Linked DNA regions of Caenorhabditis elegans. The protein of the gene in region 1 interacts with the protein of each later gene in a pairwise test. Each region holds a gene or a part of one and is shown on either strand. Other genes may lie near its edges.

Region 1 (4,514 bases):
ACTTGCACCGCTCCTGGTCCAATGAGCTGTGAGAAATGTTCAAAAGGTTATGGTAAAGGATCGATTGGATACTGTAGACCGTGTTGTCCTGAAGGATCAACAAAGAGTTGGCAATGTGGTAAGGAAGACACTCTCAAAATCTTCCAGGTATTCTCACAATTATTTTTTCAGAGGACTGCTCCAAGCCGGATCCTACACTTTTGATTGATTCTAATAAATCATCTGGATTTGGATTGATGTTCTGGATTGTAGTTAGTTTGATTGCGGCTTGTGGAATCTGTGCCTGTAAAAAGTGTGCAAGTGAGACGAAAAGCTCAAACGTAGAGTAAGCCTTGCTAGTTATCGTCTCCGTAATTCGAATTTTAATATTTTTAGATATGCGCCGCTTGCTCAATATAATGCCACAAATGGTGCTATCAATTTAGGAGCACACACTGACGATGAAGACGATGATGAGGATGAAGTATTTGTGAACCCTCAAATTGTTTAAACCAAACCTTTCAAAATTCATGTTTTTAATTGTAATTTTTCTGCCAACTTCTTTGTGTATGCTTGTGAAATCCGGGTAATTGTTTCTTTTTCAAAATTTTAAAACCTGAAACGTTTTCAAGTGGCCTTTTATCATGTGATTGTATTGTTTCTTTTGTCTTATACCGGGTTTATTTTTATTATACCGTACTGTTTCCATGTTATAAATAGATTGTTGAATTAATTACACAAGACAAAACATCGACATATTAAGACTATACAAATGAGTTCCGACAGTAGACACCTAAGCCGACTCGATTCACTTCTGTGGCTTCAGCTCGGAAGTTTCGAACTTCTGCACGCGATGGTTTAGGCACTTCTGGTGACATATTGATAATATCATCTAGTGTAGGAAACGTGAATTCGGAGCCTTCGACAGGGAGAAACTTCTGATATGTGCTTCTGAAAGTAAGCAATTAATTAAAATCTGTGTTTTCTTCAAGGTTACCTCATAACATCTTTAATTCTATTCAATGTTCTTACAGTTCTTCCCGGGTTGTGCTCATCGAATGGATCTTGAATACACACCTCTTTGTTTGTTGAACTACGAACCATATTGTTTTGTGATGTTCTTCTGAAATTTCAGTTTATTATTTTGAAGAAGATCCAATTGGTTAATTTGTATTCACAGAAAAAAAAATCTACCGATCCATGACCATTACAGGCCTGGCACCAATGTAGTTTTCTTTGAAGTTGAACATCGAGTAGTAATATAGAAATTCGATGAACAATCTTGCCAGTGGAGCATTATTTGGGGCAATTCTAGGAAGAGGCTTGGGAAGTGGTGCACCAAAATTCAAAATTGATGGATAGACTTTGTCATCCCAAGCAATGAAATTATCCTCTGAAATGTTTAATTATGAAAAAAAAACAACAGAGAATATATTCACTCACTTTTAAAGATTTCTTGCAAATTTGGCAGTATTGGTGGAAATGTACCGCATTGGAGGAAGTGAATCACCAGTAGAACAAGTGCATAACTGAAATTTCAGAATTTTAGATAAATTCAAATAAAGTGATTAATATTTAACCTGTTGAATCCTCCATCTTTTGGATCTTTAACTTTTGTACTGGCTGCCCATTGTTTTACGATTGCACATAATGGTGCAAATCGGCCGTCGATACTTCAAAATTAATTGGAAATAGAATGTCTAACAACAAGAAAACTAACTGTGCCAAATGTCGAATCAAAAAAGAATTGTGCATCGATGACAGAAATCGATCCATAACTACACTGATATCACAATCGATTCCGTCTACCGTCATCACTTTCAAAATTTGAATTTGAGCTTGAACGAGCTGGATTCCATGTTCCCAATTAATTCTTGAATTGATCTGTTCATCATTTTGTAAGTTAAGACGGACAATTTGTAGGATTTCCAATTGAATTCTGTAATTTATGTCATTTAAATAATTAATTAATCCCGAGAAAGCCTAACTCTCTCCATGATGCTTGTCGTTCGTCATCTGTGATATTTCTTCCACGTTCTTCTTGTTCCAGAACTCTTGCCGCTTGTGGGATATGAATTGCAACGTCTAGATCACTGTTTTTAGTGGCCAATCCGGTTACTGTACTTCCAGTTGGCACGATATTGAATAGCCACGTTGGATTGTTCTTCGAAATTATATTCTTCAGCTGATAGCACCAATCCATTTTTTTACCGAACTCCTCTTTTGGCTGAAAATAAGGAACTCTTAATTTTTCATTTAATTCAAAGCAACCTGTTTCGTAGTATCGAAATGATCCTGCATACTGATAGACAATATATTGAAATCGTCCTCGTGATCCCTTAAAACGCGTTGAAACTTTCCGTTAAATTTGTGAAACGCTTTTGGATTCGCTTTGACCTTAAAGTCTATGTCTTCTGGACTTCGCTGATCTTTATTTGGTTGAGACATTGTTGTTACTACAAAAAATATTCAATTATTATTCTCATTGGAGGTGAAATAAAGCGCGACAATATAATTCTTTTAAAAAACTGGAAGGAAATGCACAAATGTGCTTGCTGTATAAAAATGAACATTAACATTCCAAGAAACGAATAAACAATTTTATGAATTTCCCGGACTCGCACCGATACCGCGCAAAGGAGTTGTGTTAGCGCACTCTCCGTGCACTATGCACATTCTTCGTTTCTCCAACGATTTTTTTTTGTAATTTAATCAAAAAAGCGAAGCATGTCCGATGATGAAAGTATTTTTGTTCCCGATGAAAATTCAGCACAAGTTTCTGCAGAAACGACTGTAAAATGGTAAGTCAATCTGTTCATAATAATGTTTTTATCGCTTCAAAAGTTACAGGACTGATAGCGCCAGTTCGCAGAAGGTTATCAACAATTTGGAGAAATTCGTGCTTAATCAAAGTCTTGACAAGAGTTATAAAAAGATTGTAAGTGAAATGTATTAGTGTTTCAATAACTAATCTTCTTGCAGGCAAGTGACGGCATCGCCAGCAGTAAAAGAACCCTCGAATCGCTTTTAGCTCGGAATGGTGGACATCAAAACCTTCTTAATGAAGAAGTTAACAAACTAAACAATAAAAACTACACTTTGGATGCGGATGGACGAGTTTGTTTGGTTAAAAATTCTTCAAACGACACGAGCCGCCACCAAGAGGTTTTTGTACCAATGTTTTTGAAAACCCTAAAAACGAGTTCATTCAGTTGATTCTTCTACAAAAAGACACCCATGAGCTTCGATGCCTTCGCGAATATTTGATGTTAGCTCTTGAAGCAATTATGCACAATCATCGGCAGATGATGGTCAAACATGTTCAGAACGTCAGAGAAAGGCCAAGACAAGTTTCTCAAGCAGCTATAGATAACGCAATAGTGAGTTATTTTATAAACTCAAAATTTAAAAACGTTTGAGGTCTCAAGCGCTTTTGGGCTTTTTATTGAGGCTTTTTATTCATTTTTGTTTCAGGAAAAAGCCAACACACGCATTATTGACGAATTTGCTCAGATGACACTCTTCGTCGATCAGTCCATTGCTCGCGAAGAAATTCGGTCGGAAAACAGACGAAAATTAAAGAAAACCATTGAAATTGAGACTTTTTTGATGAGAATGATGCTCGAAATGGAAGATATTCGGGAAGCAAATGTGAAAGATTTGGTGTCATTATGGCGGTAAATTATTATAAATTTTTAATTCAAATTATTTTCAAATTTAACGCTTCAAAGTAATTCTTACTTATTTATCACATATTTTTGTCGTTCACGACAATTTTTCATTGATTGCGATTTTTGGTCGATAGATGAAATTTTTGCATAATCGACGGAAATGTACCAAAAAACTCATAATAAATGGAAAAATATGCAAATAGTATGAAAAAATTTTGTAAGATTTTTTTGTTGAAATTTTAACAATTTTAGCCATTTTTTGACTCTAGTTACTAGTTTTTTGTCCAGTGTATTTTTTGTTAAATTTTTTAAAAAACAATTTTTTTAAGTTCATAAGTTTCCAGTAATTTTTTTTTCGAAAATTTACAAATGGTACATTTTTTTCGAAATCGTCGTAATAAAATATGATCGAATATTTTTTCCAAAAAATTTGCTACCTCATGATTTGTCTTTAAAATTCTTTTTGTTTTCAGGAGTCATCAACGTTCTGCAAAAACTCAACCAACGAATAACAACGCTGCTGGTGATTCTACAAACTAACTTTTGAATTCTTCACAATCGAAAAATAGAAAATCCACTGTCATATCAAAATTCCTTAACTAGAATCTCTCACCAACTCGTTTATAAATGTATTGCAATGATTGTACTATTTATTTTTGACCTCACTTTTTCCCTCCTAATCAGATTTCAATATTTGGTCCCTGTGTGTCTTTCTGCCTGTCACATTTACTTGTATTGTTCCTTCCCCACACATAATTGCTTATTTTCTTTGAAAATATGTACTGTAGATGCTTGATTTTTTTGATTGCACCATTTCGTTGAAATGAATTTATTCTTTCAGATTTTCCAAGCAACATGCTCACG
Region 2 (5,875 bases), on another chromosome or scaffold:
CTTAGAAATGTTGCGAGATGCTGGGCCCTTGAAACTGGAGTCATTTTAGGTCTTCGAATGGACGATGAAATCCCTGGAACATCATTATACTCGCACTATTTCACTCCACGACTTCTTCGCCCAAATTTGGTTCCAAAAATGAATGATGCTAATTCTGCGGCATATTTGGCTTCTATTGAAAAAGAAACGCTGGCATGTTTGAGAATGATTCGTGGAGCACCATCAGTTCAAATGCAAAATATTGTTGGAATCAGGCTCGACGAAATTGAGCAAATCGAAGAAAATGAACGACTACAAAAATCATCAAAATCTTCAATTGAATATGAAGTTGGAAAAGTATCAGAGAAAATGGAAGAAGAATGCTTTGTAGAAGAAGACTCAAAACCTCCATCATTTCCACCGGGTCAAGATCCTCGTCGGATTGGTCAGTACTGGGGATATGACAGGTCTGGATTGGCTCCACCGAGAAGTCACTCGGATGTTATTGAAGAAGCAAAATATGAAGATCGCGACAGACGAAAAGATCTCAATATTCCCGGAATTCCGTAACTTTCCATGTAATTAATGATTAAACACTGTGATGAATTTGTCAAAAATCTTTTCTGTGTTGGTTTTCAGTATTTCCGATTTTATATTGTTTTCTGTTGCATGATCTCTAAATTTCTCAAGTAATAAACCAAATTTCAGAGCTTCAACGTTTTCATTCACAATAGAATCTGAAAATATACAACTATTTCAAACATAAAGGAGGAAATGGTACTCCCGAAAAAATACCCGCGAAAGAAAGTGGGACGAGCAAATTTGTGAGTAGGGATGGGTACAGAAAAAGAAATGGAAACAACCGATGAAATATCCACAGAAGTAATCACATTCACAGTTCAACATATTACAGGGAGAAGTGAAAAATAGTGAAACCAAACATCTAATTTAGTTTTTAATGCAATCTAATTGCTATGGGTGAAACGGATAAAAATATCAACCCGTATAAATATAACTTGTTTCAATTTGATATACCTGTAGATGGGGACTTTGAAAATGGGAAAGCTAAACAAAAATAATAATAAAAAAAATAAACAAAAAAATGACTAAACTCGACGGACTAATCGAACTGGGCTGGAAGATAGTGAATGGCATGAGACAATGTCAATGATTTCTCGTGCGAGATGAACCACACGAATATCCAGATTGTGAATGTGTTTCGAGTGTCCATGGGACATATCCTCGACGATTGGAGAAAGCCCGGAATCCATAAACATTTCGATGTATCTGAAAATGTTTTGAAATGATTTTTGAAATTAAGAAAAAAGTAAATCAAAAACGTACCCTTTCTCATACGTAGGCGCTTTGTTCTTCTCGCGATGTTGAAGAACGTGATGAACTCCCCACAAACACCACATGATGGCCCCATTCGAATTTGACTCTCTAACAATACGACTGAATGGAATGAAAGATTTGTAGGAGACCATTGCCGATGGAAGTGTGGGATACTGCTCAATAAGCTCCAAGAGCTTTTCGCAAGCTTCGTCACGTTGATTTTCACTCTCCCAACCATCAGTGTTGGTCAGAAGATTAGCGAGAATTCCAGCAGCGAAATAAGATCGTTCAACTTCACGATACCGTCCTTTCGAATCTACTTCGTTGAATGATCCGTCAAGACAAGAACTGAAAAAAATTGGTTAAATTGAATTCAACGAATTAAAAAACATACATAAGAACAGAAATATACTCGTTTTTGCAAAGCTGTCCCAAATGCAATTCTTCCACTTCGGCCAAGTTGTTGAGGATGCCAAGAACCTTCGTCTGCACATTTCCATGATAATCAAAAGCTTTGAGAATTCTGAACGCAATCTGAACACCTCCAGCATCCAAAAATGCTTTGCATGTAGCCGGGCATTCGTCTGTTAGATTCCAGAGTGCACTCAGGGTGAACTTCAGAGTATACAGTGCATTTTCATTGTCTCGTTCGTGTCCAACTCGATGTTCACGAGTATATGCCTCCAGATAATCATTCATGATTTTGACAAGATGGTATACATATTTGGTTTCAGTTGTTAGAATCTTTGCTTCTGATGGTCGCATCTTTGGAGTCACAATCGACACAATTGCAATAGTCATTCTCTCAACGCTGGCATCACGATTCAAAAGCATCGTGTCGAGAGCAACTTTGCAGGTACGGTAGAAATCAATTTCATCCAAATGAAGAAGATAATCATTACAAATTGTAAGCCAGACGTTCTTCTGCAGCTGCGTCATGCTTCTATACTGCTCTGCTGCGTCAAGTGACCGTTCAATGCAATTGTTGACTTCTTTTACTGATAATCTCTTGATTCGCTTCATTCTGAAAGTTTCCATCATGGAAAATACATTTATAAAATAATAATACGTACTTGCAAAGATGATAGAGACAAGCACTACCCGCAATCTGCACTGGCAAAGTGTTGAGCCCCTGCTGCATCGAGATACACACAAGCCGTAAACACTCTTTCAACTCCTCCTGTGAAAACTTGTCGTAGCCGGACTGTAACTGGTAATACACAGAATGGAGAGCATGAGTGATGAATGCAGGCCTGTCCAGATTTGCATAATGGGACAATGCAAAAATGATAGATCTTCTCGAGACTGTGTTGATCACTTGCAAATTTCTGTTTGGAATCTCAATGAGTGACGAGTCGAGTGGAGTTGCTGTAATTTCAGAATTAAAACACTACATTTCCAGAATAAAACTATTACTAACCAAGTAAGCTAATTTGCTCTAATTTCGGATGCGCCTCAATAATCTTCTCAACAAATGCCAGTGCTCGATCGGTACCAAATTGAACAATGCTCAAACCAGACATATCAATTGCTCTTAGCTCCGCCCAAGGCGTAGCTGTCCCGCTCTCAATTGCTTCCACAGATCTGTTGTAGATACCAAGAGCCAAATCGAGATGAGCATCCTGTGACGTTTCTTGTAAATAGTCTGTGTTGACTTTTCTTGAAATGTCTAATACACGCAATTTTGTCAAATTAGACAATGTCTCTGTGACATCCCCTTTCAAAATGTTCAGGTTGTACATAATGAGGACTTCGAGATTTCGAAGACTTGAAATGCAAGAAATATCCGTGACACAGGTGCTCGAAATGTCCAGGAACCGAAGATTCAACAAACTCGCTCCAATTTGTGACAAAGTTTCGTTGGCAGTGCTTCTGTTAGCGAAAGCAAGACTTTCCAGACGAGGAAGTTTTCTCGCTACATACGTCGGCCAATTTGAAGTGATTCTGTGTCGTCCACTCAGATCAAGATGTCGAAGCTGTTGTCGTGAAGTTCGGTTGAGTGCCGTATCAAGCACGTCAGCCACTTGAATTTTGTTCGTATCTGAAAAAAAATGTATTAAAATGTTTTAACAAAAACTGCTTACTTGGAAAGTAATCAATATCGCCAAGTCGGAATGAAACCAGGTTCTGGTTCGAACAAAGCTCCAAATCTTGCAACTCAACCTTGTTGCCCATCAAATCAATTTTATTGATTTGGAATCGTGAGGTACTGCACATCGTTTGCAAAGTTTGATGATTGAGTTTCTTTTTTTGGCGAAGAACTTCAAAAATATCGTTGCTGCATGAGGCGATTACCTTGTGATCAAACTCTGGCAGAGCATCTGAAACTTTAATTTCCATAAATGCCGAAATCAATAAATTTACCATTTTCGATGAGCTCAGCAATTCGTTCAGTCGCCAATCTCGCAAGTCTCGGAATGGCCGAGGTACTGCATGTCGTCAGAGCTGCATTGTGATCCATATCAGATGAAATCTGAAATTAAAAGTAAAATTAACTTTATTAGTGAAAAGTAAAGAGAGATCGAAGTGCCTGATGAATGAGGGCTAAATAAATATTTAGTGGGACTCTCTATGAGTTACTATGTAGGTTGCAATTTATAGAAAATGAGAACAAATAGTAAAGTGAGAGGGTGAAAATAGATGAGAAAGAAGGAGCAGACTGGTTCCAGACACTTACACAAAGAAAATGAAAGTAAGAGAAAAAGGAGAGGTAGAAAAGAGTATGGGACACTGGACGATGGGCATATTAACGTCGGCCTTAAACGGTCCTCGGCCATGTCATTGGAGCGAAAATGCATTTTTAAGCAACAAGTAATATTAAAATAAAAGTAATGATTTTTTTATTAGACGGTCGAAAATTTCATCTTTTGCTGATACATAAAAAATTAATTCCAATTAGATTTAATACGGGGTGCAAAGATATGTTAATATTCGTATGTTACAAACTACATCCTTACTGTTGAAAAATCTTATTGAATAGCAACAGAAAATTTATCGATAATTTGTTTTTCTGCATCTCTTTCAATTCTCCTTCAACAACGACTTCTTTTTCAATCAAGAGAACATTACGTCATGAGAACAGTACGAAGAAAAGGAAAAAGAAGAAAAGATCACATGTCATTATGGGGAACCCCTTTCAACTATTACATGTGACTAACTGATTGAACAGTATACTATACCGTTTCTTCGGTATGATTGCACGCAAACGCATGCCGAGAAGACGAGAGGAAAATAATTCGAAAACGTCGATGATAATTGTTTCGAATGCGCACGCACATCAGGCGGTCAACATTCCCGATGAGACGCAGACATGATCTACGCACTTTTAAACATTGTTGCAAATTTGAATAAGTTGACACAATTTTTCAAACTATCATTATCAATTTGTTCGCTGGATTGTGGTTGTCCGGGTATTGCACAATTTCAACGACATTCGAGAATGGCTGATAACACTACACGTGGTTTTTTCCCATTACGTCTCTTTTCTAAAAATCAACTCAACTCACATGTGAGTGTCAACGGTCAATAAAATTATATTGAGAATGCTTTAAGTATTTAATCGTATTTCCGATGAATAAAATAAATAAAATTACTAATCGTCAGGTTGAACTTCTGAATTCAGTAAAATCAATCGAGGCAACCTTGAATCATGTCGCATCGTATCGTACAAAAGAAAAAAATGCGTTAATACCGAGAAAAGTTAAGAAAAAATAAATGAAAATTGCGATGCTCGCGTGAAGTTTTCACCGTCGACTGGGTAGTCGACCAACCAACTGATTACATTCAGTACGGGGAACCCCGGAGTGGAGGGAAGTGTCATGTGATCATGATAACGGGATGGGTGAGAATCAGAAGAAGAGGGTTTCCCCGACGTCTCTCTCTCCTGTCAATTGTAAAGAAAGCACACATTTTTTCTCTCATTTTCTCTAAATACTCTCGAATGTTGGATAATAATAATGACGGCAAGCGAAAATAGAAAAAAAATTTAGAAAGAAAACAGAAAGGACAACGAATTTTCTGGTTGCAGATCAGGAGAGTTGTGCAAAGTTTTTCGTGAGATCGATGAAAGTAAACTTTTTCGCATGAAATATCTCAAAATCATTGGAAATAACCAGCCTACTCATCTCTTTTTTTCTCTTACAAGTTAAAACAAAGCTACATGGTATTTGTACTGCTCCACACACTGAAAAGTTAAGCTTCCGATCACTTCTTTTGCAAACAATTCGTTGCCAATTCATCTTCATATGTGCACGCAGTACAAGTGTAACAAAATGAACACGAAAAGAGCAATGACCGAAGAGTTGAGAAGTCAGCTGGTCTAGCTTGTTGACACTGATTTTTTGAAGAAAAAAGGAAGAAATAAAGAAAAAGAAGGTTCTCGAGAAACGAAAGACACGGTGAAATGAACTGGGGGGAAGCGGCGGCTACAACAAGAAAAATTAAGAGAGAAGGTTATAAACAGTACAAGAGATGGTTATCATTCGCTCATTCTGCTGACTTTGAGATGTAACGCAGACAGAAAATAAGATTTGTGGCGAGAAAATGCAAAAAATGCGCGAAA

Evidence for each region.
Region 2: the proteins of rde-3 (region 1) and zyg-11 interact in a two-hybrid assay, tested with the Caenorhabditis elegans proteins (one large-scale study listed by BioGRID).

What each region holds. Positions count from the first base shown.
Region 1 is NC_003279.8:6,355,969-6,360,482, forward strand, and holds rde-3 (PAP-associated domain-containing protein), read right to left. Parts: upstream 2,443-4,514; 5' UTR 2,428-2,442; coding exon 2,251-2,427; intron 2,207-2,250; coding exon 1,968-2,206; intron 1,919-1,967; coding exon 1,700-1,918; intron 1,653-1,699; coding exon 1,560-1,652; intron 1,509-1,559; coding exon 1,423-1,508; intron 1,373-1,422; coding exon 1,174-1,372; intron 1,103-1,173; coding exon 977-1,102; intron 931-976; coding exon 744-930; 3' UTR 646-743; downstream 1-645. Other genes in the region: Endoprotease bli-4, read left to right, coding at 1-118, 172-325, 376-490; K04F10.3 (Vacuolar protein sorting-associated protein 28 homolog), read left to right, coding at 2,707-2,780, 2,824-2,917, 2,962-3,144, 3,192-3,359, 3,454-3,656, 4,124-4,190.
Region 2 is NC_003280.10:8,015,592-8,021,466, reverse strand, and holds zyg-11 (Early embryogenesis protein zyg-11), read right to left. Parts: upstream 3,788-5,875; 5' UTR 3,776-3,787; coding exon 3,679-3,775; intron 3,636-3,678; coding exon 3,399-3,635; intron 3,356-3,398; coding exon 2,735-3,355; intron 2,683-2,734; coding exon 2,388-2,682; intron 2,339-2,387; coding exon 1,709-2,338; intron 1,663-1,708; coding exon 1,324-1,662; intron 1,267-1,323; coding exon 1,086-1,266; 3' UTR 682-1,085; downstream 1-681. Other genes in the region: hda-2 (Putative histone deacetylase 2), read left to right, coding at 1-549.